Linked DNA regions of Pelodiscus sinensis. The protein of the gene in region 2 interacts with the protein of the main gene of each other region in a pairwise test. Links are inferred from orthologs where the notes say so. Each region holds a gene or a part of one and is shown on either strand. Other genes may lie near its edges. The genes, in order: CCDC148, SAT1, TCF25 and TACO1.

Evidence for each region.
Region 1: the proteins of SAT1 (region 2) and CCDC148 interact in binary tests that used the Homo sapiens proteins (3 or more experiments, as listed by UniProt). The two-hybrid records come from large-scale screens. The link is inferred for Pelodiscus sinensis from reciprocal best matches to the Homo sapiens genes SAT1 and CCDC148.
Region 3: the proteins of SAT1 (region 2) and TCF25 interact in binary tests that used the Homo sapiens proteins (3 or more experiments, as listed by UniProt). The two-hybrid records come from large-scale screens. The link is inferred for Pelodiscus sinensis from reciprocal best matches to the Homo sapiens genes SAT1 and TCF25.
Region 4: the proteins of SAT1 (region 2) and TACO1 interact in binary tests that used the Homo sapiens proteins (3 or more experiments, as listed by UniProt). The two-hybrid records come from large-scale screens. The link is inferred for Pelodiscus sinensis from reciprocal best matches to the Homo sapiens genes SAT1 and TACO1.

The regions. Positions count from the first base shown.
Region 1 is NC_134717.1:32,112,645-32,120,254, reverse strand, and holds the start of CCDC148 (coiled-coil domain-containing protein 148), read left to right. Parts: upstream 1-4,594; 5' UTR 4,595-4,732; coding exon 4,733-4,850; intron 4,851-7,610.
Region 2 is NC_134711.1:205,581,927-205,589,203, forward strand, and holds the start of SAT1 (diamine acetyltransferase 1), read right to left. Parts: upstream 3,002-7,277; 5' UTR 2,809-3,001; coding exon 2,743-2,808; intron 2,377-2,742; coding exon 2,325-2,376; intron 2,240-2,324; coding exon 2,156-2,239; intron 851-2,155; coding exon 749-850; intron 667-748; coding exon 626-666; intron 196-625; coding exon 25-195; 3' UTR 1-24. UniProt on the Homo sapiens protein: Enzyme which catalyzes the acetylation of polyamines. Substrate specificity: norspermidine = spermidine >> spermine > N(1)-acetylspermine. This highly regulated enzyme allows a fine attenuation of the intracellular concentration of polyamines.
Region 3 is NC_134722.1:2,323,408-2,331,266, reverse strand, and holds the start of TCF25 (ribosome quality control complex subunit TCF25), read left to right. Parts: upstream 1-4,847; 5' UTR 4,848-4,862; coding exon 4,863-5,021; intron 5,022-6,669; coding exon 6,670-6,849; intron 6,850-7,859. UniProt on the Homo sapiens protein: Component of the ribosome quality control complex (RQC), a ribosome-associated complex that mediates ubiquitination and extraction of incompletely synthesized nascent chains for proteasomal degradation.
Region 4 is NC_134714.1:129,756,074-129,763,643, reverse strand, and holds the start of TACO1 (translational activator of cytochrome c oxidase 1), read right to left. Parts: upstream 3,013-7,570; 5' UTR 2,821-3,012; coding exon 2,559-2,820; intron 1,955-2,558; coding exon 1,848-1,954; intron 799-1,847; coding exon 665-798; intron 1-664. UniProt on the Homo sapiens protein: Acts as a translational activator of mitochondrially-encoded cytochrome c oxidase 1.

The DNA.
Region 1 (7,610 bases), on a different chromosome or scaffold from region 2:
CAACACATGAAGCTGCTACATAAAATACTGTATCTTATTACTTTTTGTTACCTTTTAAATACATAAGCAAAGCAGTAAGTGAAAATGCTATGCTTTAAAAAGAGTCACACAAGATATGTAACATTTCCAATGTGTAATTAGAAAACTTTAATGAATTCTCTCCCTGTATAAGATGTCTTCTCAAAAACAAAATTCAAGTGTCCTTAAAAAAGTGATAGAAATGTAGCCGTGTTAATCTAGGGTAGCTGAAGCAAAATGCAGGACAATGTAGCACTTTAAAGACTAACAAGATGGTTTATTAGATGATGAGCTTTCGTGGGCCAGACCCACTTCCTCAGATCAAATAGTGGAAGAAAATAGTCACAACCATATATACCAAAGGATACAATTAAAAAAAATGAACACATGAAAAAGTGTACCAGTTTGATTTAAGTATGAAACTCCTACTGTAAGGACGAATAAAACCAAAAACCCTCTCATCCTATCATTTTCTGTTAAAAGTTTGACTTGTTTATTAGATCAGAGGACATGCTCTTCCCCCACCTCAATCTTTGATTGGAAGATGCACAGCATATTGGTCATGCTATCTACGTGTACACAAAATAGTTTCAGTAACACATTCCAAGGGTCAGGCAACACGTACAATTTTAACCCAACTAAATCAGTATTAATTGAACTTTTAAAGTTGGATATTTTAGTTTCCTTTTTTCCTAATTTTAAAATAGTTAAAATTAAACATTATGTTCCAATATTTTAATTTTCAGAGGTATCAGACATTCAGCAAATTTAAATGTTTTCTAAGACCAAAAAAAAAAAAAAAAAAAAAAAAGTACAGTCTACCCATTTCATTAGTCAAGAAAGCTTCATTCTCCCCGCCCTTCCCAAATCTTGCCCAATGATTGATAAAATGACTGACAGCCATGAGCAGAATCAAAAGCTAGCTACAAAATATTATTACTTTGAAGCCACCTTTTAAACAAGGGGCGGGGAACCTTTTTTGGGTTGGGGGTCACTGACCGACCAAAAAAAAAAAAAAAAATCAGTCAGGGAGGGGGATGCACACAAGTGAGAAGTGAGGGGGGGATCCTTACTGTAGCCCCCAACTGAGGAGAAACACACACCTCACATTCCCCTCTCACACCAGAGCCTAGGGGTGCCCAGACTAGTAGACTGTGCGCTACAGACCCTGGGGCACAGCAGGAGGGCTGGAGCACCAGTGCGGGCTCCCCAATGCTGGGGGGCGGGACCCTGAGCCTCGGGGGCTGGATCCAGACAAGCCGAGGGCTGCATCTTGTCCCCAGGGCCTGAGGTTCCCCACCCCTGCTTTAAACAGATAATTTAATTTTTAATTTTATATTCACGTGTGCATTTGGGCTATTATGTAAAATTGATATGTAGAAAATACTAAACAAGGATTAATCTATCCTAAGCTACATACATATCCGTTTCAACTAAAGATATTGTATAAATCTGCATATCAAACCAGAGTTGGCTTCTTAAAAATCAGTGTTCTACGAGAATATATTCAATGTTCCTGTGCATAATTTAGGATTTCCAACTTAAACATTCATCTACTTTGACCTCCTGTATATCACAAGCCATCAAATTTCACTAGTTACCTCTGTATTGACCCAATAACTTGTGTTTATCTGAAGTGTATCTTCCCAAAAGGCATCCAATCTTGATTTTGCAAAAACACCCCAGAGTCCAAGCATTTTAAAATCCATGTCACTCTTCCAATTCTGTACCTCCCAGCATCCCCAGACTGAATGGACATATCAGCTACTAAATCATGTCTCCCAATTTCCTTGTTTTTTGTAAAAGCGACAAGGAGCCCTGTGGCACCTCAAAGACTAACAGATTAAGCTTTCGTTGGCAAAGACCCACTTCATCTAATACTTATTTTTTGTGTGATAGTAGCAAAATGTTCATGCACTGACAAGTTAGTAAACTCAATCCATCTTCTATGAAACAGCTGCATTACTGTCACTCAGCAACCCTTATTTTAAATATATTTGTCACTTATCTTCTATTTCTGTTGCTTATTGATCAAGCAAAGAGGCTGCCTAGTTAACAGCTTTCCTGTAGCTGTGCTTGCTATCAAGGGCAGTAGAGGATTTCAGGGCTTAGATAGCTTTCTTCAAGATTTGGGTACTGGTGTGCAATCTGAAATTTAGTTATGTCAAAAACATACCTAATTTTTAAATTGTATTCAGCATATATCATCAGTGACTGCAGATCACCTAGCAGCGTGTGGACACAAGGCAGTTCAATATAATAGTCCCAAAGAGGAATATGTACAATGCTTTTTTCTTAGCTTAAAAATACTGACAAACAGATAACAGTACCGCTTGATAGCCTGATCATATGGCCCTATTAACAAACCTGTCCCAAACAATGTTTGTCAAGGCAATAGTTTGCATGATAGTGCTTGGACTTGCTTAGTGGCTACTACAGTTTCTTTAGCTAAGCGCTGCCTAATTATTTTCTTCAGCCTGACAGAGAAAGCAAAAGTTAGACAGGAAACAACCACCACTAAACTGTGCTCAGAGAAACAGTACTAGTATTCTATTATTTTATCTACAACTGGACAACTGTTTTCTAAATCCCTTTTTTCTCTCTCAAATCACTTCTCACAAATATCAACTTAAATGGCTATGACAGTTTGAACAGCTCAATGAAAATTGCCCTGGTGCTAACAATGTAAATCTGGGGAAAGACGTGGTGGCGACTGCTGCCTCCTGCTGCGTTTCTGTGTTGTTTCAGATGGTAATTGACACGCCCTGTAATTTAACAGTACCAGACAGTTCCTATCTGTCCCATCTCTGGCAAAACACTGCCTCTCTGTTCCTTTTCATTACGCATTATGAGGGTATAAATGCAGCTCAGTAAGATAACAAGCTGTAGTTCATGTTAAAGAAGAAGGATCCATGCACAGAAACATTTTGCAGATTAGATCGTCGTTCACAAGTATTAACAAAAACATATAGCAAAACGTGTTGCGGCATCACCACACACGACGAACATTTTTCCTCTCCTCCTACCCGCCCGCCCCCACTGCTATCACCATCAAGCTTCTGCAGCTCGGCTTAAGGACATAAACCAAACAATAACACTAATTGCACAAATGTTTCTGCAAAATTTGGCACAGAAATCAAAGGCCCGTGGTAGCTGGGAGGAAATGAATATCCAGCCTTCCTGAACTCGGGTGCGGTGAGGAACAAGCAACCTTCGAACTGATCTCATCGCGGAGAAATGCAGCGAGAATCTAACCTGAACCTGTGCAATGCCATGCCGAAGGCAAGCAGAGACCGCTCCTGCCCCCTCTGCAGCATGGAGACACAGAGAGGTTCGCTAGCTCCCGGGTAGATTGCTCTGGTGACCTTTGACTATTGGAGGAGAGCCGGGCAAGGAGCGATCTGTTGCAGCGGGTTGTGTGCGCGCTTCCCCTGGCGCATTCCTAACATTCCAGCACAATCTAAAGCCCCAGGAACAAACAGCGTGTGTCCCCCCTCGCTTCCCTCCCCCGCCCCACACACTGTAAAAGCCTCACACCTGCCTCTCTGCGCTCCACGCCGCAAGCGCCGCACTCCTCGAACATGCAGGCTCGGTGACCGCAGAGGGGCAGTTCCGGGGCCTAACACCTGGAAGCCCAGCCCAGGGAAGGGGCTACAGGAAACTGACTGCGTACATTCAGCCTAAGGCCGAGCAAAGCCAGTTTTACAGGGAAACGGAAAGCTGAAGGGAAACACGAGCTTGGGCGGCGCGGGGAAAAGGGGTCTGGGCGGCAGAGGTTAGAACCGAGAGGACGTTAGGGGAGCGTTTTGGGAGAGGAGTCAGGCCAAAGGCGGGAAGGGGAATCAGACCGGGGGTGGGAGGCAATGAGAAAGGCTTGGGAGGGAGGCGAGACTAGTGCGGCGGGGGGTAGGGGGCTGGGGGAGGGCATAGGGCACAGACGGGCCAAGGGAGGAGAGGCTAGAGATGGCCAAGGGGGGGGGGGGGGGCGGCTAAACAGATGTTGGGGCGAAAAGCCAAGGGAAAAAGGTCTGGGGGCGAAGGGACAGACAGGGAACCACAACCCTCTCAAGGAGACTCAACCACTTTCCTCGCCTCCCTACAGCTGGAGTATGCGCCTCCTGGCACGGCGCCCCTCTGATCCGGAGCCGGGTCCCCGCCACAGGGTACCCCCACCCTCCAGAGCGCCCCCCAGACCTCCCATGCCCCCGGAGCCTCACTCACCGCACAGCTGACGCCGCTGGTAGGGGCTGTAGGCGCGGAGAAGCCTCAGCTGCAGCCTCCCCGCCGGGCCGGGCCCTACCCCGGGGTCTCCATGCTGTTGCCGCTGCTGAGTCCAGACCCCCTTCACCCTAGTCTCCCTAGTCCCGCCCTCCACCACGGACGTCAGCACAGCGGCCTGCCTTGTGCCACCATGCTATTGGAAGAGCCCTGCTCAGGGCCGCATCTTATTGGTCGCTGCCGCATATTAAACCAACCAATGAGAGACCTACTTGAGGTTGTTATGGTTACCGATGCTGTGATGGGGCTGAGTGGAAGGACTCGGAGCTGCAGTTCCTTGAGGCGCGGGTGTGTGCGGCGGAAGGCGAGAGGGAATCATTATAGGTCACCAGGGGAAGAGGGAAAGCCCTGGGCGCAGAGAGGTCACTGGGCGGGAGAGGGGAAGGGAGTGGAGCTGCTGAGAGGACGGTAACTGGCTGGAGTAAAATCGTTTTCCATGCCCTGGGGCCTAGTAAGCAGAAGTACCTGCAGTGGTGAGGATTTACACGGGAGTCAGCAGGCTGCAGCCCTGCCCAAGGCTGGTGACTGTCAGGCTCGCCTGCCTCGCTGGAAAGGTGAGGCGAGAGGACGGGAAATGCATTGATAACGTGCAAATTCCAAAAAGTTCCTACTGTAGTGGTGAAGTTTGCCCCAGACCACTTCTACTAGTTGCTCAGGGTGGGTGAGGGGACTAATAAAATACCATCTGAGAGTCCATCATGCTTCTTTGGGTAAGTGTGAATCCCAGCCTTTTTCTGGCTCTGCCTCCTCTTCCCCCATCAGACTGTAGGTGAGATGCTGTTCATAGTAACTGACGGTTGTCACTATATGCTATATAAGTAGGTCTGGCGAAATAATTGCAGTCTATAGATCTATTGGAAGGGGAATTTACTTAGCCATGACAGAATCCAATATAATAGTTAAGCATACTTCTTGCCTGGAAGACTAGGAGCTGCAGCAACAAGTTACAAAATGGCTACTTTAGAAGGACAGCTGCTTTGACTCTTAAAAATTTAAAGGGGCAACCTGAGAAAGGTATGCTGTGCAAAATGTTCCTATTAGAGAGTAACCCTTTAGTAGAAAAGGCCGATACCTTAGTTACTAAGGAAATAGCACCTGCTAAAGAAATAATATCTGTAGTGTGTATCACTGCAGTATTATAGGTCCTAAACAAAATACAATACAGACAATTGACTACTAAATTAGTTCAACATATGTGAAGTAAATTGAAGGATTGTTATGTGAGTGCAGCTTATGTGATGAGTTGTTGCTGGTCTACAAAATAAACTAGACTTCAGTTTCAGAGTTACTTATGGTATATATGTAAATTATGCTGTGCTCTATGGTAATTTTAATCTTGATCTATCTATTATGGTGCTGGTAACATGGAAAAAAAAGTATGTGATAAGGATGGTGCCTGCTCACAGCCTTCTAATCTTACATTTAATACGTGATTTAAAAAAATATTGGCAGTGAATGTAGCCATCTTGGGTCTAGCAACAAGATAGCATTGTAGACTGAAGTTCTGTCTTACTACAGATTAGTTACAGAAAGGGAAATGACAAAACAGGCTTCCCTACAACTTTGATCTGAGGGAATCGCCTTTAGGTGTCCCATTCTACTTAGTCTTTGACCGCTTTGCGTACACTGTTGATAAGGTTTTCAGCTGTGCTTTTGTTGGATACTTTGCAATGACTGATTGTGAAATTAAACCACCAACTCATTTCACATTTAAGAAGGTTCTGAAGAAGTGGGTTGTGCCCACAAAAGCGCATAATACCATCTACATTTTTTGTTAATCTTTAAAGTGCTACCAGACTATTTGTTGTTGGTTTTTTTAAGTTTATCCTGTGTAGCCTAACTCAGCTATCCTCTGAAGCTTTTCATTTCACATTAATTACTAATCACTGAAGGACATGGGTTTTATACTGATATAACTTAATTTGGAACCCATTTGCTGGTCACCTAAATCAGCAAGTGCTCTGAATAGGTGGCTTCTCAATATTTATTTTAAAAATCCTTCCCATGACTAACAGTAAATGGGGTCTATGTACAAGTTCAGGTATATAATGTTTAATGTAATTGAGAATTACTAATATTCTCTATATGCAATGAGTTCACAACAGTGACTGGGGTTTTGGAAAAAAGCTCTTATGCCATATTGCCCTGAGTTATCTTTGCTTCCTTTTGATTGTGGGTGGCTCCAAGGACAGCTGCAAGGTAATCTACTATAGTAGTCCGTTGTGCTGACTGTGGGGCAGCTGCCCACTATATTCTTGTGCTGTGACCTGCTAGGGGTAAGCATGGTATTGCTTATAGTAGTTGAACACTGTAGAAGTGGGCTGTATGCACAAAAGCTCAGGATACCTTCTACATGTTTTGTTAGTCTATAAAGTGCTACCAGACCATTTGTTGGTTTAAATTTATACTGTTCCAGTAGTGAGCCTACTTTGACAGAGTCAATACACTGTTTTTAAAGCTTGTATTGGCAGTAATGAGAAAATAGAGCAAGGCAGATAATTTGGTGAGGTCCTGTCCCATTTGAAAGCATGTGGAAGGTCATTTTCTTTATCAATGAACCATAATAATTTCAAATCTGTTCTCAGCCACAGATTCATGCAATTTAACTACAGAAGGGGCAATTGGATAATCTACTTTGACCTCCTGTATATCACAAGCCATTAATTTCATTTGTTACCTTTCTATTGACCCCAATAACATGTTTAGTTAGAGTTTATCTTTCCAAAAGCCATCCAGTCTTGATTTAAAACTAAGAAGAAAAGCATCTAAATTTCACTTGCCAGTCTGTTCAGTGATTATGCACACATTTGACCACTAAAGTGATTAATCTGAATTTGTCTGGCTTCAGCTTCCATTAGTTTTATGTCTTTCTCAAAACTTGGGCACAAAAACATATACATAATCTCAGTGTCACTAGAAGAGGACTCTGCGTTCATTAGTAAATCCTATAAGAATTTGATGTCATTTGTTCCTTCTGAAACATCTGGGATTCCTATTACTCTTAAATCTGGTTTCTTGAAAGTATTCTCTGGCTCTTTCACTCTTGAATGAGCAGGTTAGTAGATTAGTATCTGCTGACTGTTTTATTGGTACTGCTGTTATCCTCCCTTTTTGAGCTCTTAATGAGTTTCTGCTTAATCTAACCTGTCCTACGATTAGTCCAAATAGAAGTCTTTCAAAGGGGTTCTCAATATTTTCAAAACTCTATCATGCCAGCCTTAATTTGAGCTAAGACTCTTATATTTGGGATCCTGTTACTTGGATGAGAGCAGAGAAACACCTTTGGCTACAGGTAGAATAGTGGGAACTGCAGA
Region 2 (7,277 bases):
TTTGTCATTTGCTGGAATAATTCCTCATTCTTCAGTTGCCATTTTCAACAGATGTTCTTTGTCAATTTTGAAGAGCCTCCATCCTTCCTCAGAGGACAGATCAGAAGCACCTCTTCTTTTGTAGAACTTGATAGAAGGTTCATTCCATTCTGCCACTATAAAGTGCATGCTGCTACAGCGGCATTTGAGAGCAACCTACAAACACATGACCAGTATATTTATTAGGTGTGTAGCAATTTTATTAATTGCATATGGAAATCTATTCCTCCATTACCGATAGGCAAGTCTCTCCACACATCATATTGCTGAAGTGAAGACTGCCATTAATATTGGCAGCTGTTTTAATCATAGCAATTTCCTTCAACCCACCTTGGTCTCGTTGGGCACAATGGAGATGAGGGACTGTCAATTCTGATTCTATGAAGTACTGACAGATACTAAACCAGTAGGATTTTACAGAATTTGATAAACCTACCCCATATGTCCATTTGTCCCTTTTATTACCATAACTGAATCACTCATTTTCAAGTACTATTGAAGGGTAATATTAATTGAGCTAAACAGACTTGCTTCTCTGCTGTGGTCTTCTTGTGCTAAAAATCTGACAGAGAATGGAACTATTTACCTGACTCAGATTCTTCAGAATTTCTGAACCAATGCCAAGTCCTAAAAAGTCAAGAAAGGTTGGTTGTAATTTTTAAAAAAAATTATAGAACAGTCCATTTTGAAGCTATTTGTTAAAATATACCTCTGAACTCTGACATTACAAAGAAATCTTCAAGGTACAGCAATTTTCCAATCCAAGGGTCATAAGTGAAGTAATACATGGCAAAACCCACAATAAGATGTCCTGTAACAAAGAATTACATCAGCAAAAATACCCTTAAATTTGAAAAGCAACAAGATTAGTATATTTCAACTTGCATGCATACAACCTAAATACCTAGGTTTCACATGCAACCATTAATGTATTAACTGTCATAAGCCTGGTTCAAGGATGGAAGTTTGCAATAAGCATACTGAGTTGTAGGTAAAACAGGAATTCTGATAGCTTGAGATGTGTTGTGGAATGAAGATTATCTTTCTAGCTCTTGGAAGGCAGTGTTTACGGTTATAGCGAACAATGAACATCTAAGGCTTTCTGCTACAGACACATTATACATACCCTATTATCAGTATGTCCACTTTGGAATATAAAACTGGCTTACATTTAACACGGCAGTTCAGAATATGCTGGCACTTTGCTCAATTCTGCTTTCTTAAAAATTGTAACACAACACTAACAGTAAATCTAAAAACTACACCTTTAAAAGACTGTTTTCCAATCAGTATCTCTCAAAAATTACTCAGTGGGAAAACCAGGAGTGCTCCCAGGAAGCCATAAGTTAACAATGGCATCTCCAGCACCTCCTTGGATTGTGTTCCCATTAACAAAGTGACAGTCTGTATCCTGGGCACCAGAAACATATCTACTTTGGCCAACAGCTTTCCTTGTTTGCTTGAAACAACTCTATGGCTCACTCTGTAAGAGTAGCCAACTGTCAGGTGCAAAACTGGTACCCTCTTCCAATATCATCCCACTCAGTCCTAAAACCTTGAGACTTCAAATCATGTTGTTAGCCATAGTAGTTTGCACATACTCATAAAAAGAGAGTGCATACAGGATTTCTGATCTACCGTGTGTTTTTTGGTAAATGTTTGGGAATAGTACTTGTCCCTGTTAGACCTTACCTCATGTATCATGATCATCTACTTTATTGTGTAACGGATCTTTTAGTTACCTCCCCGCCCATCCATGTACACGGAAGGGCCATGTACATGGCGAAGCTAGAGACTGTAACCTGAAGATTGGGGACAAATTAAAGAAAAAATGTGATTCAACAGGATTACATTAAGGGAAATTAGGGTCAAACAAGAACAAACTAATTAAATGGAATTACTGTGTATCATATATATTATACCTGGTCTCCAGTGTCTTCAAAATGGCTGATCATTTTAGAAAAATATCACAACTCTTCAATATCAATAACTGTATTTTAACTTTCTTCTTATCCAAATTCCCAGCTGGGGCTTTATGTATAATCAGCAGCTTTAAATAATGTGTTACATACATCCTGTGCATTTCTTATTTTAAAAGAGTAGCAGGAAATCTTACCTTCAGCGGTCCACTGTTCTTCTGGAACTTCTGCAACAAGACAGTGGTAGAAAGGGTGCTCACCAAAGCCATCTTCAAGCAGATCTACAAAATGACAATAGGCTGACGTGTATTAAATATTAACAGTAGTAGGACTACACCACACCAAACTCTGAGCAGCTCATGTTACCTTTTTCAGTTAGGACTACTTGATCCTCCATATCCTCATATTTAGCTAGTTCCTGAAAAAAAATACATGCACAGATATACATTTATTTCCATGCCTCAAGGAGGCATTTCTTATCCAAGTGCTATTTATACACAGCAGAGCAGAGAGGCAGCCACTTGCCCGCTGCCAAGAGCGAAGAGCCCCCGCGTGCCCGTGAACTGAACACAAACAACTTGTTTTTGCCAAATTAGGAGTTCTTGGTTCTGGGCGGACAAAACTGACACTGGAGGAGTTTCGAGCCCCCCCCCCCCCCAAACCGGGGCAAAGGTCCTGGGTAGGAGATTTAGGCAGAAAACAAATTTTACCCCCCCCCCCCCGCAGCAGCAACCCCCCCCCAGTAAGCCCCGCCCCGCCGCACCCATCCCCCCGCCGGCGGCACCTTGATGAGGCGCAGCAGGTCGGGGCAGTCCTCGGGCCTTGCGCTGCGGATGCGGAACGGGGCCATTTTCGGCGGCGCTTCCCCCTGCGGCCCCCCCGGCTGGCGAGTCCCCGGTACGTGAAGAGGAGCAGCAGCCGCTTGTTCATTCGTGTGCCCGGCGCGGCGGCTCAGTCAGGCTCCGAGCATGACGCGGACACAGGACCCGACCCGACGCCGATTCCCCCTCTGCGCCCCCGCAGCGCCGTGTGGAGGCGGCCGGCCGCGCGGCCCCTCTATATATCGGCAACAGGCTCCGCCCCCCCGCCAATGGCCTGCCCCCCCGCGCAGATCCTCGGCCAATCACTGCGCTCCTGACCCAAGCATTACCTCACTCTTCCGGAAAGGGGCGTGTCTTGCCGGCTGCAGGCCCCGGGCGCGCGCGCGGACGGCAGCGCCCCCTGGCGGGCAAAGGCCGCCCTGCTCCAGCGCCAGCTCCGCGGGAGGGGGAGGGGTGAGAGGGGAAGTGCCAGCCCCGCCCCAGTGACTCCGGCCCTGGGAGACGCCCCCCCCCCCCCCCGGTGCCAGGAAAATGGCCCTGCCCGGGGACACTACCCGCTGCCCGCTCTGCAGCCCCACCCATTTTGGCCTCCCCCGGGCTGGGAAGCGAGGCTTCCCTTCCCCACTTGCACTGGCACCACCCTGCGCTGGGGGGAGAGAATAGAGGCTGGGACCAAGAGATTCAGCAGGTGGCATCTACCATCTCACAGGGACCTTGAAAGGTCATTGAGTCCAGTCTCCTGCCCTCATAGCAGGACCAAGTACCATCCCTGACAGATTTGCACCAAAGCCCTAAATGCCCCTCCCCCGTAAGGATTGAACTCTCAACCCTGGGTTTAGCAGGCCAATGCTCAAACCACTGAGCTATCCCTTGGTGGAACAGGTAGGTGGGGTACAGAGATAAGGACACCAGCCCAGGGTGCAGACTGAGGTGCGGCTGGGTTTGAAGGCAGGGAGTGGGCTGAGGGGTGCAGACTCCAGACAGCACTTCCCTCAAGCAGCTCCTGGAAGCAGGGACGCATTCCAACTCTGGCTCCTAGGTGGAGGTCCAGCCAGGTAGCTCTGCTTACTGCCCTGTCCACAGGACCAGGTGCTACCCAACAGCTCCCATTGGCCGTGATTCCTGACCAATGGGAGCTGCAGGGTCAACTGTTGGGTCAGGGGCAGCATGTGGAGCTCCCTGGTTGCCTGTATGCATAGGAGTTGGAGGGGTGACATGCCCGTGCTTCTAAGAGATGCTCAGAACCTGCATTTCCACACAGCGTTGCTGACCAAACTTTTAACTGTCTGGTCAGCAGTGTTGTCTGGAGCCATCAGGGATTCCTTTCAACCTGGCATTTTGATCAAAAACTGAACACCTGGCAGACACTAGAATTCCCTTCCAGTGCCAAAAGCACAGGCTCCTTAGAACCACAGGAGACTCTCTGCCAACTGCTCGTAACAGTGTCAGGTCCAAGAGTGGGGAGTTATATGGACCCAGGGTGCCTGGGCCCCAGAAATATTCAGAGGTCCTGCTTCAACAAAGTTTGGGGCTGGGTTTTCCCCCTGGTGGCACCTAGCCTTCCACCTGCTTCAAGTGCCCCTGCTGTTAGTGAGAGTTGCGGGAGTCATGCCTGCCAGCGTGCCCCCCTGCTTAGAAGCTACTGCCGGAGGAGGTGCCTTAGATAAATGCTATATGCCACCTCTCTACCTACATCCTCTTCTGCCCCCAAACATCCTCCCAGAGCCTGATACCTCACCTCTTCTACACCCCAATTCCCTGTGCAAGTCCAGAGCCTGCACCCAGCACCCAAACTTCCTCCCATAGCCTTAGGCAGGTGGAAGAAGTGAGTTCTGGGCACCAACAACATTTCTACAAACTTGCCACCCCAGCCCAGGGAGACTTAACAGTGAACAACTTGTGAGGGGAGAGGAAATGTTTATCTAAAAGCATCAACCTCCTATTTTCCTCCAATGAAAGTGCCACAGATGTCTGTAATAACAGCATGCAGCACACAGAGGACTTTGATTTGTAAAAAGTCTCACTAGAGAGTGTTAATTAATACAAAAGACTGCATTTATGGGAGGGACACCAGGGCCTTCCACACGTTACCTTTCATGTGATTCCATCCTGCCCTCAACCTTCCTCCCCCCACTCTCCTCGTGTCCCATCTCAGAACCTCATTATCTGGTGATAATTTTATAACTGGTGTGTGTCTGTTGAATAGATGAAGTTGTTAAATGATGATCTGGTTTCCTAGTATCATCTGTACTGTACTTCCAGATGTCAGTGAGAATCTAGAAGTATCCCACAATGGAAATTTCTTAAATGAAAGACGATGGGAAGGATAATCTCCCTGCTTTCTTTTAACACATTATAAGTGCCTCCATCTTGGGAAAACTAAGCTTCCACCACCAGGAGTGGCCCGAGGTGGGCTGCGGCAGCTGGTGCCCCAGGCAGAACATGCGATTGGCGCCCCCGCCTGCAGGGCCGTCAATGGACAGATGTCAGCATCGGGCACCCCGGGCGCCCCATTTAAGATGGTGTCCTAGGCAGCAGCCGAGTCCGCCTATAGTCACGGGCTGCCTCTGTCCATCATCCAGCTTGCTTATGGAAGAATCCCAAGCACAGCTACAGTGGGGAGAGGGCTAAGCAGCAGTTCTGCAGAAAAAGACCTGGGGATGAGTGGATGAGAAGATGAATAGGAGTCAACAGTGTGCCCTTATAGCCAACAAGGCTAATGGCATATTGGGGTACATTAGCAGGAGCATTGCCAGCAGATCTATGGAAGTGATTATTTGGCACTGGTGAGGCCACATTTGGAGTATTGTATCCATTGCAGAAGAATGTGAACGCATTGGAGGAGTCCAGTGGAGGGCAACAAAAATGGTTAGGGGGTGGAGCACATATCTTATGAGGAGAGGCTGAGGGATTTGGACTTATTTAGTCTACTTAAGAGAAGAGTGAAGGGGGATTTGATAGCAGCCTTCAATTACCTGAAGAGGGGTTCCAACGAGGAAGGAGAGAGGCTGTTCTCAGGGGTGACAGATGGCAGAACAAGGTGCAATGGTCTCAAACTGGAGGTCTAGGTTGGCTATTAGGGAAAACTATGTCACTAGGAGGGTGGTGAAGCACTGAAATGGGTTACCTACAGAGGTGGTGGAGTCTCCATCCCTAGGGCAGTGTTTCTCAAAGTGATCCACGGACCCATTCTGAAAAAGCTGCTACGGGGCCACTCTGGTTTGTTTACTTACTGGCTCTGCAGCCACGGAGCCTCACTGCTCCCATTAGCTGTGGTTTGCCATTTGCAGCCAAGGGGAACAGCGGGAAGCAGAATGACCTGGGCCACTACTTCCTGCAGATCCCCTTGGTTGCAAATGGGAAATTGCAGCCAATGGAAGCCATGAGGCTCCTTGGCTATGGAGCCAGTAAGTAAACAAAGTGGAGCAGCCCAGTAGCAGTTTTCTCAGAGTGGGTCCATGGACCACTTTGAGAAACACTGCCCTACAGGTTTTTAAGTCCTGGGCTGACACAGCCCTGGCTGAGATGATTTAGTTGTGACAGATCTTGCTTTTATGATCATAACCCTCAGCTTTTATGATCATACCTTCAGCCTCCCCTCAATGACCTTCTGAGGTCTCTTTCAACCTTATGATTCTGTATTTATGTCTTGCTCTTCCAGGAACTAGGAAAGCAAAGATGCGGTGACATCTGGGTTTGATGGAAAAGAGTAAGAGGCATAGAACTGTGTGTGCTATGTGCATCCATTTTTATTTAAATCCCTGCTTCATTGATTACGTCGGTATGTCTAATTTACATGCCTCAGTCGGCAGAGGCATGTAGTCTAGACATGCCCTTGGAGAGGAAAGAACAAAACCATTCCAGCCAGAGATATGTTACTTATGCCACAGGTATCAAATGCTGCAGACTTGTGAGTAAGTCAGCAGACATCTGATCTTTGCCACTTGCAAGGGAGAAATCAACAATCAACGAGACTAGAAGAATCTCTGTACAATATCCAACTCATTTTCCCCATAGCCCATTGCCCATCCCTCTCAGCTGCTTGTGGCTCATTCATCCCCCCTAAGGCCCACTCTGCCCCTCGCTTCTATAGGCCCAGTGGAAAGCCAGACTCAGCCTAACTCAGGACGGTATAGTAGTGAAGCTTGAAGGTGAGTCTTGGGGCATCTGTGCTACTGCTGTAAAAGTTCCTCTGCTGCCACCCTTGAAGTGCCAGAAGAAAGTGAAAGGTGAGCAGGTGTGGGGAGGCTCCTTTGAGTATGCACTGAGTCACTGGCCAAGAAGAGCCGGGACGCTAGCACCACCTGGGCTGGGAGAGATTCGAGATGAGCCCTAGAAAGGGACAGTCCCTACCTAAGATGAACTGCTTCCTCAAAGATGCTTGAGGATCCCTCCTGTTTGTCTCTTCTTTCTGGGGTCCTCAAGCATCTTTGCCCTGCCTCTCCCCACTCTGTGTTAGGAAAAGTCCATTAAGTCAACTGTAGATAGGACAGGTGCA
Region 3 (7,859 bases), on a different chromosome or scaffold from region 2:
TTCCTAGTTCAGTCACCGAGCCGGGCTCGTGAGGCGTCCCCAGTCTGCCTGTCCCCTCTGCGGCTTCCCCTGGGCTGCTCGCCTCCCTTCACCGGGCTCTGGCTGCCTGGTGCGGTCAGCCCCCGCCGCTTACCCCACCCTGGGGTGTGTATTCAGGCCCTCGGCTGTGACTGTCTCTGGGCCGCGAGGCTGCATGTGTGTCCCGGCCTGCGCACCACCCCTCCCCGCCCCGCCCCGCCCCGCGCTCCGCAGGGAGTAGCACTAATCCGGAGTGGGGCTGTGCCCCCGGGGAGCCCCCAGCACCGAGCACAGACATGGGAGGCCCGGGCCGCCCAGAGCTCAGGGTGGTACATGGGCTGGGCAAATACCGCCTGAGCCCGAAGGCACTCAGCCTGGCCTGCTGCTGCCAGGTGTCCCTGCTGCCCTGTGCGAGCGGGTGGGAGCTAGCCCGGCTGCGCTGCCCTGTTGGGGCCCATTCGCCAGATGCCCGGCGGGTGCTAAATCTCTCGGTCCCCAGCTCCGCCCCCTGGAGCCTCTCCGGGGAGTGGCCAGGGAGTAGGCCCGCCGTGGCGCCATTCCCCGGGTCTCCCCATTGGCCCTTTCGCCATCCCCGGTCGCGCCTGGCTGGCAGCTGCTCTCTGAGCAAGAAGAAAAGGCTCTGCCCAGCCCCTGCCTCCCTGGAGGTGGAAGAGACCCTGCCAGCCTCACGCCCATCCCCCTGGCCTCCTGGCACTTCCAAGGCTCATCTGGGCCCTGGACCTGCCTAGCCACAGAACAGGGAAGGCCTGGCCGTGGCCGCAGCTCCAGGCTCTCTCCAGATGTGGCCCAACATCTGTCCTGGCCAAAACGTGAGGGTCTGGACCCTGAGGAGTCCAGCTGGCCGCCTGGAGTCTCCACCATCTGCTGCTTCCTCTCGGTGGCCTGGCTGGGTCGCCAGCCACAGCAGCTGTTCAGTGTGCCCGTCGTCAGATGTTTGTCTGGGGCGTCCTTGTGCAAAGCCGCCCGGCCCCTGGCGTCCTCCTCGGCCCGGGGCCAAGAGAGACACGGGGGTTGGGCCAAAAGACTCAGCGTCCGGTGCGGGGCTTTCGCGTGGGCAGGCGGCCGGAGTACGGGGAGCAGTGCCCCCCCAGACAGCGACAGCCAGGGAAAGCACCAGGCCGTGGGAGGGGAAGGGGCTGTTCCACGATGTGCCACTCGCCCTTTGTGTCCCACCAGGGGTGCACGTTGTGTGTGCGACACAGGGCGATGCAACCTGCACGTGCCTCCCCCCCCCCACGAGCCCAGCGGCAGGGCCTGATTTCAGTCGCACGAGGGCCCACGCTTCGCACGTGCACGCGATCTGGCTCCATGCGCAGACCAGGGTTTGTGCCGGCCGAGGGTCAGTTACACACTCAGGCCTGGCCTGCTGGTTACACTGGCAAAGCCTTCTGCCGGGAATGCAGCTAGTGCCGGTAACCGAGGGCTTTGGTGGTCCTGTGTGTATCCGTTCCCCAAACCAAATAGCTGGGCTGGCAAAAAGCCCCTAATTGCAGGTCTGCCTGGGTCTACACTGGGGCTTCTGCCAGCCTCGCGGGGTCAGACTTGCCATGCTCCGAGCCAGCAAAGCTGCCCCAAAAGTTGGCAGCGTAGGTCAGCCTCCCAGGGACCCTGGCAGGTCAGGTAAATTGCCAGTGGATCTCTGCCCAGCATGACGGAACCGGGCTCTGGAAAACCAAGCCTGGCTGGGCACTGGCTGCATCTGAGGGAAGGTGCATGCTCGCTGCAGACCGGCACAGCGTGGAAGAGAAGCCAGGGCCGATTCCACAGCCCACCAGCCCCTCTCCATGCTGGGGGTGCCGTCCTGCTGAAAACACATGGCACTCTGCTGGCCCTGGGCCCCGGCTTGCAAGATTAGCCTGCACTGCCGCCCTGCTTGCTTCTCTGTTTTGACATGGCCACATTTTGCTGACGTGTGCAAATGCCAATGCCTTATCCCCCTGCCAACTCTGCAATAACGCCCCCTCCTGCCCGGGTCGGAGCTGGCAGGCGTGGGGAAATGCAGGGGACCCCGTCCCCACGTCCTGTCCCTGGCTGACCCGGTGGCCAGTGTTTTGTACACAGCCCATCCTGTACAGATGAAAAGTCCGCTGTAAATAACATGCCCCTGGACTGGCATGGTTGCTCTTGTACAGAATGTTGCTCCCGTACTAATAAATCCCTATTTTGAGCTGCATTGGTCGTCTCCCGATGCTTTGCCAGCACAGGAATCTGTAAGGGGGACGGTGAGCAGGGTGCGTGGGGTGGACAGAGGCCGCCCCAGACAGCACTGAACCGCAGGGAGCCCCGGAGAGCTCCTGAAAGCGGCACGGGAGGAAATAGCAGGGAAGGGACCCTGCAGCAGGCGTCCAGACAGCAAGCGAGCTGGGCCGGCCTGCCCCGGGCTTGTGTTGAGAAGAGGGAGGAGAGCGCGTTCCCCACCCGGACTCTCAGCACCTTGTCCCAGGAGGTGTTTGTTGGGGGGCCAGCCAGCGGCTGCAGCCGGGACTGGGGCTCACGGGAAAAAGGTCGCAGTCCACATTCAGCCCGAAGAGACTGCACTTGGCTAGACGAGGGCTGAGTTTGGGCCCTTGTACAGCAGCCTCTGAGTCACTGAGGCAGCCATCCCTCTGGGCCCCAGAGCCAGCCAAGGGCTTTCCCAGCCCTGCTGAATCGCTTTGTTCCTGTCGCGGGTGAGACGGGGAGGGCAGGCTCTCCATCCCAGGGCTGGCTGGCGCCCCACGCTCGGGAGGAGAGGGTCTCTCTCCTGGCAGGTCTCATTAACGTAGGTGGAAACCCCACAGACCTGGCTCCTGGAGCAGGGACCTCCCAGTGCCCCAGCCGGCATCAGTGCTCAGCTCCATGGCCAGCTCCGTCCCCTGCCCACCCGTGTAACCAGCCCTGTGGAACTGGTTTGCAGCATCCTGCCCTCCAGGGTCACGGTGCTGTTGAAGAAGGACGCCCGCCCGTGCGGTGCTGCGGGAGCCCAGCCCCGACCAAGCCACACGGGTCTCTGGCAAGGGCGCTTGCTCGAGTGCTGCCGGACCCTCCCTTTTTGGAGGCGGAGGAGCAGCTGGCAGAGCAGCACAGGCCGGAATTAGAGCCCCTGACGAGGGGGGCGTGCGCCCCCGGAGCTCTCAGTATGCATCCCGGACGGCCCATCCCCTGCATGCTGCCAGCCTAGCCAAGGAGTCCTGTGTCTGTGTGCAAGGGACAAAGGGAAGGGTCTTGAAAGCGGCAGGTGGACGGTGACTTTTGGCATCTCGTTTGGGGCTGAACCTTGAGCCCTCGTGCCGGCTCAGTGCACAGAAGGGGGGGCGCAGCCATGAGGAAGCCAGATTTGCTCTCCTCTAATGGGTACAGGCCAGCTCTGGCCCATGGTAGCCATTCCAGCCCAGGCAGGGAGCCCTCGGACCATGAATGCTACAGCCCTGAGGCAGGGCCGAGGGGAAGGGGATCAGGACCTGACTGTGCTGAGTGCCTCACAAACCGGAAGATCTGCTCCCTGCCCCCAACGCTTCCAGTCTAAGCAGGAACAAGCTGCACCACGTGAAAATGATAAAGTGAGGGAGGCGAGGAGGGAGGCTGCAGCGCCCAGATAGCCACGCTTAGCCCAGGGGACGTTGGCATTTTGGTTCCACGTCAGAACTTTTCCCCTCCAGCCAGGGCGGCCCCCCGGCCCTACAGCCTGGCTAATGGCCCTTGGCTTGTGGGCGTCCTGGCGGAAGTGGAGCTGGGATTTCAAACAGGACAGCGCTGCTGGGGGGGAGGTGCAGCAGCAGAAGAGGCAGCGTAGAAGGAAGCACAGAGCAGTGTCGGGGAGAAGGGGATTTGGGGCTGGAGTGGAGGTGCGTCGGAATGATGCAATGAGAGATGAGCACATAATTATTAGCAATGGTTTTATGGGGGTGCCTAAGGCCCCGCCACAAGTGACACCCCATTGTGGTCGGGGTGGTGCCCGGAATCGGTAGGCCCTGCCCTGAGCCACTTCCAGAGAGACGCGGAGAGAGGTGAAAGGGGAAGAGAGTTGAGCATCAAAAAGCAGCTGCTCCGTCGGTGCTGCCTGGCTTCGGGAGCAGTCACCTCCGGCCTGAATGCCACTAACCAGACCCCGGCTGGTTCCTCCCAGCCGCTAACCAGACCCCGGCTGTGTCTCTCCTTCACTGTCAGTGCTGGGAGTCAGGGCGGATTTAAATCCCTCCGGGGAGGCGACATGAGGGGCATGGACCCTGCGATGGACGGAGCAGGCCAGGCCGCGGTGCCGATATTTTGCCCACTGCTGGTCTCTATTCCTTCTCTTGCAGCAGGGGAGGAACCTTTCCAGGGGCGAGGGCTGCTGCCCCACAGAACAAATCAGTCGGGGGCTGCGCACAAGTGAGAAGCGAAAAACAAACCCAACAAAACCCCGAAACTCGCAGGGGCAGCTCCCAGCTCCCCACGTTCCCCTGCCCAGCAGAGCCCGGGCCCCGCCTGACAGATGCTGCGTGGCCTGCCCTGCAGTGGGGCTGGGGGCCGGACAACCAGCGCAGGCTCCTCCATGCTGGGGGGCACGAGCCTGGGGGCCGGACCCAGGGAAGCCCACGTGTTCCCCACGCAACACGTGGGAAGGCAGGGGGCGGGGCCCCACAGAGCAGGGGCTGCCCCTAGGGCCAGGGCATGGGGAGCTGCTGATGCCTCGGCCGCCTCTCGGGAGCGCGCCGCTGGGTCCCGCTGCACCTTATCTCGCGCCGGCCGAGCCCGGGGCGCGCGACGCAGGTGGCAGGCTAGAGAGCGGCGCATGCGCGGGGGGGGGGGGGGGGGGGGCACTTCCGTTCGCGCAGGCGCAGAGCGGCGGGGCGCCGGGCTCCATGTCGCGGCGGGCCCTGCGCAGGCTGCGGGGGGAGCAGCGGGGCCAGGAGCCCCTGGAGCCGGGGGGGCTGCGGCTGGGCCCCGAGGCGCCGGGGGAGGCGCCGGGCCGCGCCAGGAGGGGGCCGGAGCGGGGCGGGGTCAGCAACCTGTTCGAGCTGGTGAGCGGCCGGGGGGGTCAGGGAGGCACTGGACCGGACCAAGCAGGCGGGGTCGCGGGGGGGTCAGGGAGACACCGGACCGGACCAAGCAGGCGGGGCCGCGGGGGGGTCAGGGAGACACCGGACCGGACCAGGCAGGCGGGGCCGCGGGGGGGTCAGGGAGGCACTGGACCGGACCAGGCCGGCGTGGCCGCGGGGGGGTCAGGGAGGCACTGGACCGGACCAGGCAGGCGGGGTCACGGGGGGGTCAGGGATGCACTGGACCGGACCAGGCCGGCGTGGCCGCGGGGGGGTCAGGGAGGCACTGGACCGGACCAGGCAGGCGGGGCCGCGGGGGGGGGTCAGGGAGGCACTGGACCGGACCAGGCAGGCGGGGCCGCGGGGGGGGGTCAGGGAGGCACTGGACCGGACCAGGCAGGCGGGGCCGCGGGGGGGGGGTCAGGGAGGCACCGGACCGGACCAGGCAGGCGGGGCCGCGGGGGGGTTCGGGGAGGCACCGGACCGGACCAGGCAGGCGGGGCCGCGGGGGGGAGTCAGGGAGGCACCGGACCGGACCAGGCAGGCGGGGCCGCGGGGGGGAGTCAGGGAGGCACTGGACCGGACCAGGCAGGCGGGGCCGCGGGGGGGTTCGGGGAGGCACTGGACCGGACCAGGCAGGCAGGGCCGCGGGGGGGTCAGGGAGGCACTGGACTGGACCAGGCAGGCGGGGCTGCGGGGGGGGGTCAGGGAGGCACCGGACCGGACCAGGCAGGCGGGGCCGCGGGGGGGTCAGGGAGGCACTGGACTGGACCAGGCAGGCGGGGCTGCGGGGGGGGGGGGGTCAGGGAGGCACCGGACCGGACCAGGCAGGCGGGGCCGCGGGGGGGTCAGGGAGGCACTGGACCGGACCAGGCAGGCGGGGCCGCGGGGGGGTCAGGGAGGCACTGGACCGGACCAGGCAGGCGGGGTCGCGGGGGGGGGGTCAGAGGGTCCGAGCCAGCAGCTGGGGCGGGGTGCGATGCTGCAAACCGCCACTGTGGGACCCAGGGGGGGGGAGGCCAAGTCAGCCCCCGTCCTAGGCTGTGCCCAGCTCTGGGGCTGGTTCCCCAGGGGCTCCTCTTGGGTCCCCCCCCACAGTGACCGAGTCAGCTGGCGGGGGCGAGCGAGCTTGAGCTGCTGGCCTGGCCTGTGCTCGCTGGGCACCAGCCAGCCCCCAGGCTGCCCGCTGCACCATCTTCCCAACCCGCCTAGGCCCCCCGCCTCCCCTTTGCACCCTGGGAGCCCCAGGTCTGGCCGGGAGCCCGTTGCGCCAGGCGCTGTACAAATGCGCCACAAAGACGTGGCTCCGGCCCCACAGAGACAAATGGTGCAGGCGGTAGATGGCCCCGGGCAGGCAGGGAGTGCAAAGAAACAAGGGGAGGAGGGGCAAGCTGGGCAGGCTCCCATCTCAGCAGCCAAACTGCTGTCAGGTTCCTTGTAGGCTCCTGCTGAATGGCCGGCTTTAGCTTCTGGTCCTGTCGCAGGGCTGGGTTTTTCTCTCTCTCTCTGCAGATGTGAGTAAAATACAGAGCCCAGCTCCTGGGGTGCAGCTTTGTGCTGGGGAGAGACTCCAAGTATCCATCACGCTGTTCTCCCCAGGCCTCTGAGCCTTGTACCCCTGTTTGCATAGATAACCAACGAGGAATCGGAAGAGGCTGTAGCGTGCAACGAGGAGAGAGCATGTTCCAGACTGACAGAGCAGGATGGCCCAGGGAACGATGAAGAGGCTGAAACTGGAGCGCCAGAGAGCAATGGGCAGAGATGTGGCGAGGATGCTCAACAGCAGGACCAGACGGTGACAAACCTGCAGGTACCTGGGAATGTTCAGCAGTCTCCACCCTTGTTGGTGGGGGTGGTCATCGTCCTGAAGAGCGTTCTCCCTCCCTCTTCATGCTGGCACCTGGCGCTCTGTGCCGTACTGGGTTAGTACATCCGGCGGTGACCTCCGGGGACCAGCGCTCACAGTCCTGCCTTAAGGACAAGTGAAAGCGACTGCTTTTCACTGAGCTGCCATTGGTCCCCTCCGCAAAGCACTGCACACCTGGGCCTGTTGACAGGCTGAGGTCTAGGACTGGCACAGTGGAGCATTGCTGAGTTGGGGGTGAGGTCACTGCTGGAGCTGGGGGGAGGGGAGGACGGCAGTGGAATACCTGGAGATACCGGATATGATGACCTGCTATGAAGAGGAAGTTATTGCAGCAGTTACCTGAGCTCAGTGGCTTGTGCCAGCCTTACCAGTTCTGAGTCTTCATGAGTACTAAATTCATGCAAAACATACAGGAGGGAACAAAGCCCTGCTCACGTGAAGCAGAGATGGTTTTCCTTTTCCCTCCACTGGATACATGAGTTAGTTTGCGGGTTGCTTACGAGTACAGGTCTGCTGTCTTAACAAAGTACGCGGAAGCGCTTGTCTGAAAGATGTGCATGCGCAGAATTCCATGCAGGTTTTGAGGGAATGCAGGTTAAATACTGGCGCTTGAGGGGTTGCCAGTGGTGCTTTGTAGTTGGGTTTGAGTCTAAGAAAAGTGAGGGGGATTTCCGCAGTGAGGGGGGAGGATGGAGAGCAGCCTCACTGTTGTGTTGTAGGGGAAGCTCGTAAGAGAAGGGGCAAGTGAGCTAAGCTAGTTCCAAGTGATAATATCTCAGAGGTGGTGATGATGGAGCGCTGCCAAAGCTTTGCCTCTCCTGCTGCACTAGCTGTGTGGAGCCAGTAGTCGGCAGGAGTCTGTCGGTCTGTGCCTGTTGGGAGAGGAGTGAGCCCCTCTGCCGTGGTGGATAACACCAGGTAGCACCGTGTGGCGAGTACCATCTGTGACGTTT
Region 4 (7,570 bases), on a different chromosome or scaffold from region 2:
CTGCCTCGTGTCTAACCCAGACCAGAGAATCTCCCTCCCCCCGCCAAACCTGGATTCCTGGCCCTGGGCCAGTGACTCCTGGCTGAGCTAGAGAGGAGCTCTGAGAAAGGGTCGCCCCATCTCCACTGACAGACTCCCAGCGATGGAGACTCCACCTCATCCCGAGGGGAGCTGTCCCAAGAATCAATTCCCTCCCCTGGTAAACTCTTATTCCCAACGTGAATTCATCTCCCTTCAGCATTTTCCAAAGCATTTCCCTAACATTTTCCAAAGCATCTACATGACATAGGAGCCTGAATCCCATTAATTATCTAAGATGTAGGCTCCTAAAAGGCCTCACATCACTTTTGAAAATGGGACTATGGCTCCTAAACCACTTGGGTGCTTTTGATAAATGAAGCCTGGGGTTGAGTTATTACAGCCTCCTGTAGACAGCCTTGGCCCCCACGTAGACTGCATCTCTCATATCTCCTACTTCTGGCAAAGCTGCAGAGAAGGCCGTAGCCAGCTACAGCCCTTGCACTCCTGCAGTGTGTTCATCTCCACCACTAAACACTCATGTTTTAAGACCCAGACGTGTCGGGTTTGGTCACTGGATGGTGCACAGGAAGGGCCCTTGTGTGAGGAAATGCAGGATCGTCGGGCCCGGCAGGGAAGGACTGACCCGCTGCGGCTCAGCATGAGCCGGATCTCCTGGTAGGCTCGCTTGGCGTTGTCCGTCAGCACTTCGATGAGCAGCGCAGATCCGCCAGGGCCTCTGGCTTCGTAGAGCAGGTACAAGGAGTTCTTCCCTTTGCCCTGCAGCGGGAAGGGGCAGATTCAGCTCTGTGGCTGGGCTCATGTCTTGGGAGGTGCCAGGGCACTTCCCCTTCACTCCCTGCCCTGGTCCAAAGTGCAGGCATTGGGGTTAGTTTCAAGCCAGCGTAACCATGGCTCTGACACCACAGAGCCTTTATCCATGTCCCTGTTCCCTATTCCCACCTCCTCCCCCTTAGCAGGCCCAACCAGACCTACAGTGCACAACCCTGCTCCTACCCCTTACCATTTATGCTCATGTTCTGTATCGGAGGGTCACAAATCTGGGGTCTTCGTCCCACCCCTTTTGTATCCCATGGGAGGGTTAAGGAGTGAGAATGTGCAGGCTTTTCCTATGCCTCTCAGCCAGTCCTCCCTTGCCCCTCCCAACTGGTTGCTTGACCATGGCTTGAGAGATGAGGCAGGCAGCCTTCCAGCACATGCTCGAGTGTTATACCCCACCATACTCTGCAACACGCTTAGCTATCTCTTCTCATTGAACTAGCAAACCCCTTTGGCCGGGCAGTAGTAACGCACACTGTCTTTGTGCTGTGTGCTCAGATATTAATCTACTGTATGTTTGAGGGAGTTTGTCTGTCTGTTCAAGAATTCCTTCTAAATGGTAAGAGCTAGGACCACCAAATTCAGTAGACAGCTTCCTCTTCTCCTAACTTAAAGCAAGGGCAGGGTTTGGTTGTGCCAGGACAAGAGAATGTGCCTGGAATGGGATTGCTTCTCATAAAACCGTACAGAAAAGAGACAGAATCACCAGGCAGAGGAAAGGGGCTGGCTCGGTGCGCCCCCTCCCCATCCAGAAGTGCCCCAGCCCCAAGACTCCCAACCCTCAGGCGCCCTTTAGGGAGGGGCTGAAGCTCCCCCCGCCCCCCCCCCCCCCAATTCATATAGGAACATTGCTGGCTGTTCCCCTTCGTCAAGCCACAAGCCCAGCCTGGCTCCCTCCTTCAAGGCTCCCAACAGCCCTTGGCACTGCCGGGCCTGGCCAATGAGTCCCTCTGTCCCACGAGCTGGGCTGGCAGGATGCGGCCACTTACAACTCCCTTGATGGCCGCCTCAATGGAGGCTTTGGGCATGCTCTTGCTCCGGCACTGCTCGATGATGTTGGCCAGGTTGGTGTTGAGATCAGGGTTGGGTCCCCCCTCTGCAGCAGGACAGAAAGCAGCAGTCACAGGGAGACACGGCGGCGATCCCCTTCCAGGGCAGTCCTGGCTCCCAGCCCCCACCGCTATAAACCTCCAGCCCCCTCCCAGATTCTCACACACCCCTGTTCCCACCCACCCTTCCAGAGCTGGCAACGGGACCTGAGGCCTCTGGTGACACTCTCTGCCCCAAACCACCTGTCCCAAGGCCCTTCCTCTCTTCAGCCACCACGAGCTGTTACCCCAGGCCGCATGAACCACAGTGACTTGTCTGCCCCCCTCTTACATGAAGCGGCTGCTGGGGGGGAAGGGACAGAGACCCAGTCACCTGAGAGGAGGTGCTGTGGGACAGAGCAAAGGTCCAGTGGAGGAAGGATGAGAAGGCGAGACACTACCCCGCAGACCAGCATCTTCTGCTCCAGCAGCCAGGGGGGATGCTGGCCTCAGGTAACAGAGATTAGGGGATGCTGGAGTTAGGAGCAACAGAGTCAGTGCTAGGGGTCAAAGTTGGGCAGGCAGGGACTGTAATGCCCCCTCTGGTTGTGGCAGACCCCTGGGGTCCTGGGGGGCTGTGTCAAGCTGGGGGGCTGTGCCCCCCCCCCGTACCTCTCACAGCAAAGCGCAGCAGCATGGTGAGCTTCTGGAAGAGCCGGCAGCGCTCAGCATCCCGCGGGCCCTTGACGTGTTTGACCTTGGACCATTTGTTGTGGCCGGCGGGGGTGGCACCTGTCGCGTGCAGGGCCCGGCCAGGCGGGTAGCTGGCGGGGGCGGCCAGGCAGGGCGCCAGCTCCTTCAGCACCAGCAGCGAGGCCAGGAGGCGGCAGCGGTGCGGGGCAGCGGCCCTCCCCACGGCGCGGGGCAGGGCCATGGGCCTCTGCAGCCCGCCCCCCGGTTGCACAGCTGGGGGGCGGCTCCTGTGCTGCCCGCGCACACCCGGCCCGGCCCGGGAGAGAGCCAGGAGTCCGGCCCCAGCCAGCGCCCCGGGGCCCCGCTCACAGCCCCAACCCTGCCCCCCGACGGGCTCCTGCGCCCCAGCTGCAGCGCGGGACCCGGGCGGCCGGGCCGGAAGGTGCAGGCGCTGGAGCCGCCCGCTGCTGGAGGCGGCGCAGGCGCGGGGCGGGGCGCGTAGCGACCAGCGGGCGGGGCCTCCCCGGGGTCCCGGCCCGGAGCGCGCTGCCCGGCCATGGCTGCAGCGGGGCCGGCGCAGGTAGGAGGCTGCGGGGCTGCCCGGGGCGGGGGGCGCGTCCCTGGGGCGGGGCCGCAGGCGCCTGTTCCCGGCCCGGGGCGGCGGGCGCTGAGTGCGGGTCGCTTGTGCCAGCAGCCCCCGGTGGCGTTCGAGGACGTGGCTCTGTATTTCACCCGGGCGGAGTGGGAGCTCCTGTCCCCGCCGGAGAAGCAGCTGTACCGGGAGCAGATGCTGAGGAATTACCGGGCCCTGGTTTCCCTGGGTAAGGACCAAGTTCCCTTTTACTCACTGCAGTAACACGTCCCGGCTGTCTGGACACCTCGACTGATCTGTGCCACCGAGTGGCCAAGTGGTGGCCAATGTCAGCCCCTTTCAGGGCGGCTTCCTGTTAAGAGAAATCAGGGCTACAGCGCCTGGGGGTCATTTTACTGTGACTTGTTTAGTTGCATTATGTTCCTGAGTCCTGGCACAGAAGTGGTCGCACATAGCCCATGAGCAACAACCTCTTCCAGGAATCCCTGCACAGCCACTGGGAGCAGCAACTTTGACTCAGGAATTGACTCAGGCAAATCAGGCAGGGAGAAATGTCTCCTGCTGCTTGTAACAGCTCCCCACCGCCCCGAAAACAATGAAGAACGTCATTCACATAACCACCATACAATTGAGCAATGTTTGAACCCCAGCAAAAGAACTGGTACATCTCCCTAAGACTATCAAGAAGGATCATACAAATTGCTTCTTCATAGTACAGCCTGAACTGAGGGGGAAAGACATTTCTAAGGAAGGTTTATTTTATTAGTCTCCTGTTTGGGAATCGCTTGTGGTATCGTCTGAAGGAGTGACAGACGCACCCTGACCAAGAATGGGGCCTTGTTGTGCTGGGCTGCACAAATGTATGAATCCCTGACACCAAAGCTTTAGAAATAAAACTGATTCTTCCCCCAAACAGGCTATTCAGGTTCCACACCAGATTTAATCCACCTGATCGAGCGAGGGCAGGCAGAACTCTGGATCCAGGATGCCGAGGACTCCAGAGAAAGATCAGGGCCTGAGAGCCCCTCCTCGGGTGAGTTCTAATAATCCAGTCCCTTCTGATTTACAGATCTGCTAGCGGATGGTTCATTAATGTAGCAGGCAAAGGCAGAGTGAGCTCCATGGGTGGGAAGCAGAAGGGAGTTACATTGAGGCTGGGAGTTAAGGACCAGGGTTTATGTAGAGGGGAATGAAGTATTGGGAGAGCTCCCTCTGTGGGAGTCTGTCTGTGGAGATGGGAACTATCTCTCTCAAAGTTCTGCTCTAACTCTGTCAGGAGTTACTGTGCTGCAGGCAGGAATGGCTAGGGGAGATTCTTTGGCTTGGATTAGGCAGGAAGCCAAGCAGAATGGGCACAATGGGCTTTTTTGGGCTTCATATCTATGAATCCTAGAAAGGTAGGATTAAAAGGGAAATAGGTAGGTGATCGAGTCCAGTCCCCAGCACTGTGCCAGGGCTAAGTATGACCAAAACCAATATTCCACAACCTTTTTTTTTATAAAGTATTCCTTTATGAAAAGGATGTTTTAGGGCCTGGCCTGTGTATGTCAAATGAGCACTAATTTAGTTGTAAGTGTAAAAGGAAGGCAGTATTGTCAAGTGTGGAAGAAAACAAGCCTTCGCTCTGCGTTTGTAAGCAACAAGTAGCCAGAGGCAGTTTTATTACGAGCTGCAGCAAGGGAAAAACTGGTTCGGATCGGGGAAGGGGGGGTAAGCCCCCCGAGGCAGATCTTCGAATACAAGCAATTATGAAGAAGTTTATATACTGTCCATTACATATAATAACAACAAACAATTAGTCTCCTTCCTATTACAAACACCAATGGCTAACAGTTATTTTAGTTCCACCCAGATGCTCCTTATCTCAAGGTCCCTGCCAGAGTCAGCGTTCTATCCTTATCTCCGTATGGAGGCGAAGGCAGTGTCTTATTTCAGCTTTCCCGTTGTCAAGAGTCAGAATTAGCTTGACTCTTGCTTCACTGCTAACAAACCTGAAATGGCTGCATACCAATTCCCTGTGCCTCCACACAAGATAGAGGAGATGTAAACGAAAAACCAGAATTTGATTGGATGTCCAATAATAACCCTGCTTTTAGGGAAGTAAAAGTAACAAAAACAGCAAAAGCAACGAAGTGCTGATAACCCCAAATAAGAAGTAGACAGAAGTAAAATACAACTTCTAAAAAGGCAGAATGAGACAACAAAAACTAACGTCAGCATAGTCAGGTGAGAGGAAAGATACCGAAACAGGGTATTAAAGGTTGAACTAAACAGACCAAAAGCAGATGGGTTGCAAATCCAAAAAAGCCAGGTTTGATCAACCAGGGCTTCCTCCCCAGTGCTGAATCTCGCTGCCGCTCGTAAGCTCTGAAAGGGAAACACTGGTCATAAGTTGCAACAAAAAATCCAAAAGGAAAGACATAAAGAAAAGAATCTCTCCTGAATTAAACAGCGCTTCTATCGGTCTTAATATAAGTATTATATAGGTATGTCTGATAACTCCACAAACTGTTCAAAGGTAACTTAGGAGGGTATAGCTGTAGGAGGGGTTATTGTTCTCGTCTTAGTTGTACTGCTTTTTCTACTCTTTATTTGTATGTTACGCTGTCTTAAACAATTAAAGATAGTGAATTGATTTAAATGAAAAATTAATTATAAAAGTAAATAGAAATAAAGTCTTTGGTGTGGAAGCAAAGATTTGTGCGCAGCCATCTTAGGGTGTCAGTAGCAGAGCAAGACTCAGGCTAAGTCTGAGTCTGACAACGCGAGAACTGTAAGAAGCACTGCTTCCGTCTCTCGCCTCCATACGGAGATAAGGATGGAATGCTGACTCCAGCAGGAACCTTGAAGATAAGGTAGCATCTGGGAGGAACTAAGAAATACTTGTTAGCCATTGGTGTATATAAAGGGAAAGTTACAGTATAATACTGGCTCTTTACTGTTTGTATTCAAAGATGTGCTAGCTGCAGCTTCCCTTGCAACTGTAAGACAATAAACCGCCTCTCACCTGTTGCTAACAGACGCAGAGTGAGGACAACATTCTTCCACATTGGTTAACCCCAAAGGGAAGTATTCCTCTGTCTGTGGTATCAAATCCTTTAAAGAACCAAACACCGGTTACCAAAATGGCAAAACGAACAGGATTTGACGAGAACAGAGGGTGCCCCTTTGATCGGTTAAACAAGATGGAAGGTACAGAACCTCTCAACCACTGGTTATATCATAAGGATGAGGGTGAAGAACACATGCTCAAAATAGGAGCAGTAGTATCAATAGCGGAAGAAAATCATACATATACCCTACCTATACGTAACACATTCAGGGTTGAGATGTTTAATGGCTAATAATGATCCAGTGAAATGGAAGTTAAAAGATTGCAAAGTACCATTACCAGACGTAACGCAAAAAACCCAATATAAAGAAACAGATTATAAAAAAACTACAAAACATATTAGAAAGAACAGCTGATATGACAGATCCATACCGAAAATATTTAAAATGCCAAGTCAAACAACTGACAAATTGATGAGAGAGGTACTAGAGGACCTTATAAGATATGCTAGAGGAAAGAAAAAATTAACAGCCAACAAATGGGATCCAAATAAAAGGGTCTGTGTACTTTGGGACTTGTTAATAAAAGCCGGAAATACAATAACTAGATTAGAAGGCACAGTAAATACCCTACAAGCCTTATTAAAAAAGGAAAGTCAGGAGCGAGAGAAAGAGGAGAAATAACAGAAAAAAAGAAATGATAAAACCAATAGCCACACCCCCTTCTTATCCTGAATCAGTCATAGAGGAAAATCAAAAGAGGGAAAGGAAAAAAGTAGCCAAAGGGGGTGTGTACCCATGGGATATGCTAATGGAAGGAATATGCACGGAAGAATGTACATGTGGGTTAAGAATAGGAGAAGATATAGGATCAGGGAGTGACCCAATCGAGACCCGCCCAATAACACAAACAGTATATAAACAGAGAAGAGGAGGGCCACCAACGGCCAGTACTGAAGTTAGGGATAGGACCCGAATAGAAATGAATGATCTTATAAGTCGAACCCGAAGGGGATCAGGAGAAAACCCGATTTTGTGGGTAGGAAGGTTGTTAATGGAAAACATGAATGAGTTAATCTCACAAGCAGAACTGACCATATTAACAGGAAATCCCGGGTACTTGGGCGGTCTAATGAAAATGAGTGCCATACGAGGAAACCAAGACTGGCCATTAACTTTACCAGCCGCTGTACCCATATCGATAGCAGCCATAGGGCAAGGAGGGGCCATAACAGAGGGCTCCATAAAGATGAAGGAAGATGTAAAAGCTGCAGCCATAGGAATCTCCTTCCTGTTTTATCAACCCACAACAATAGCCCAACAACAATTTACAGCACCACAGAGAGCT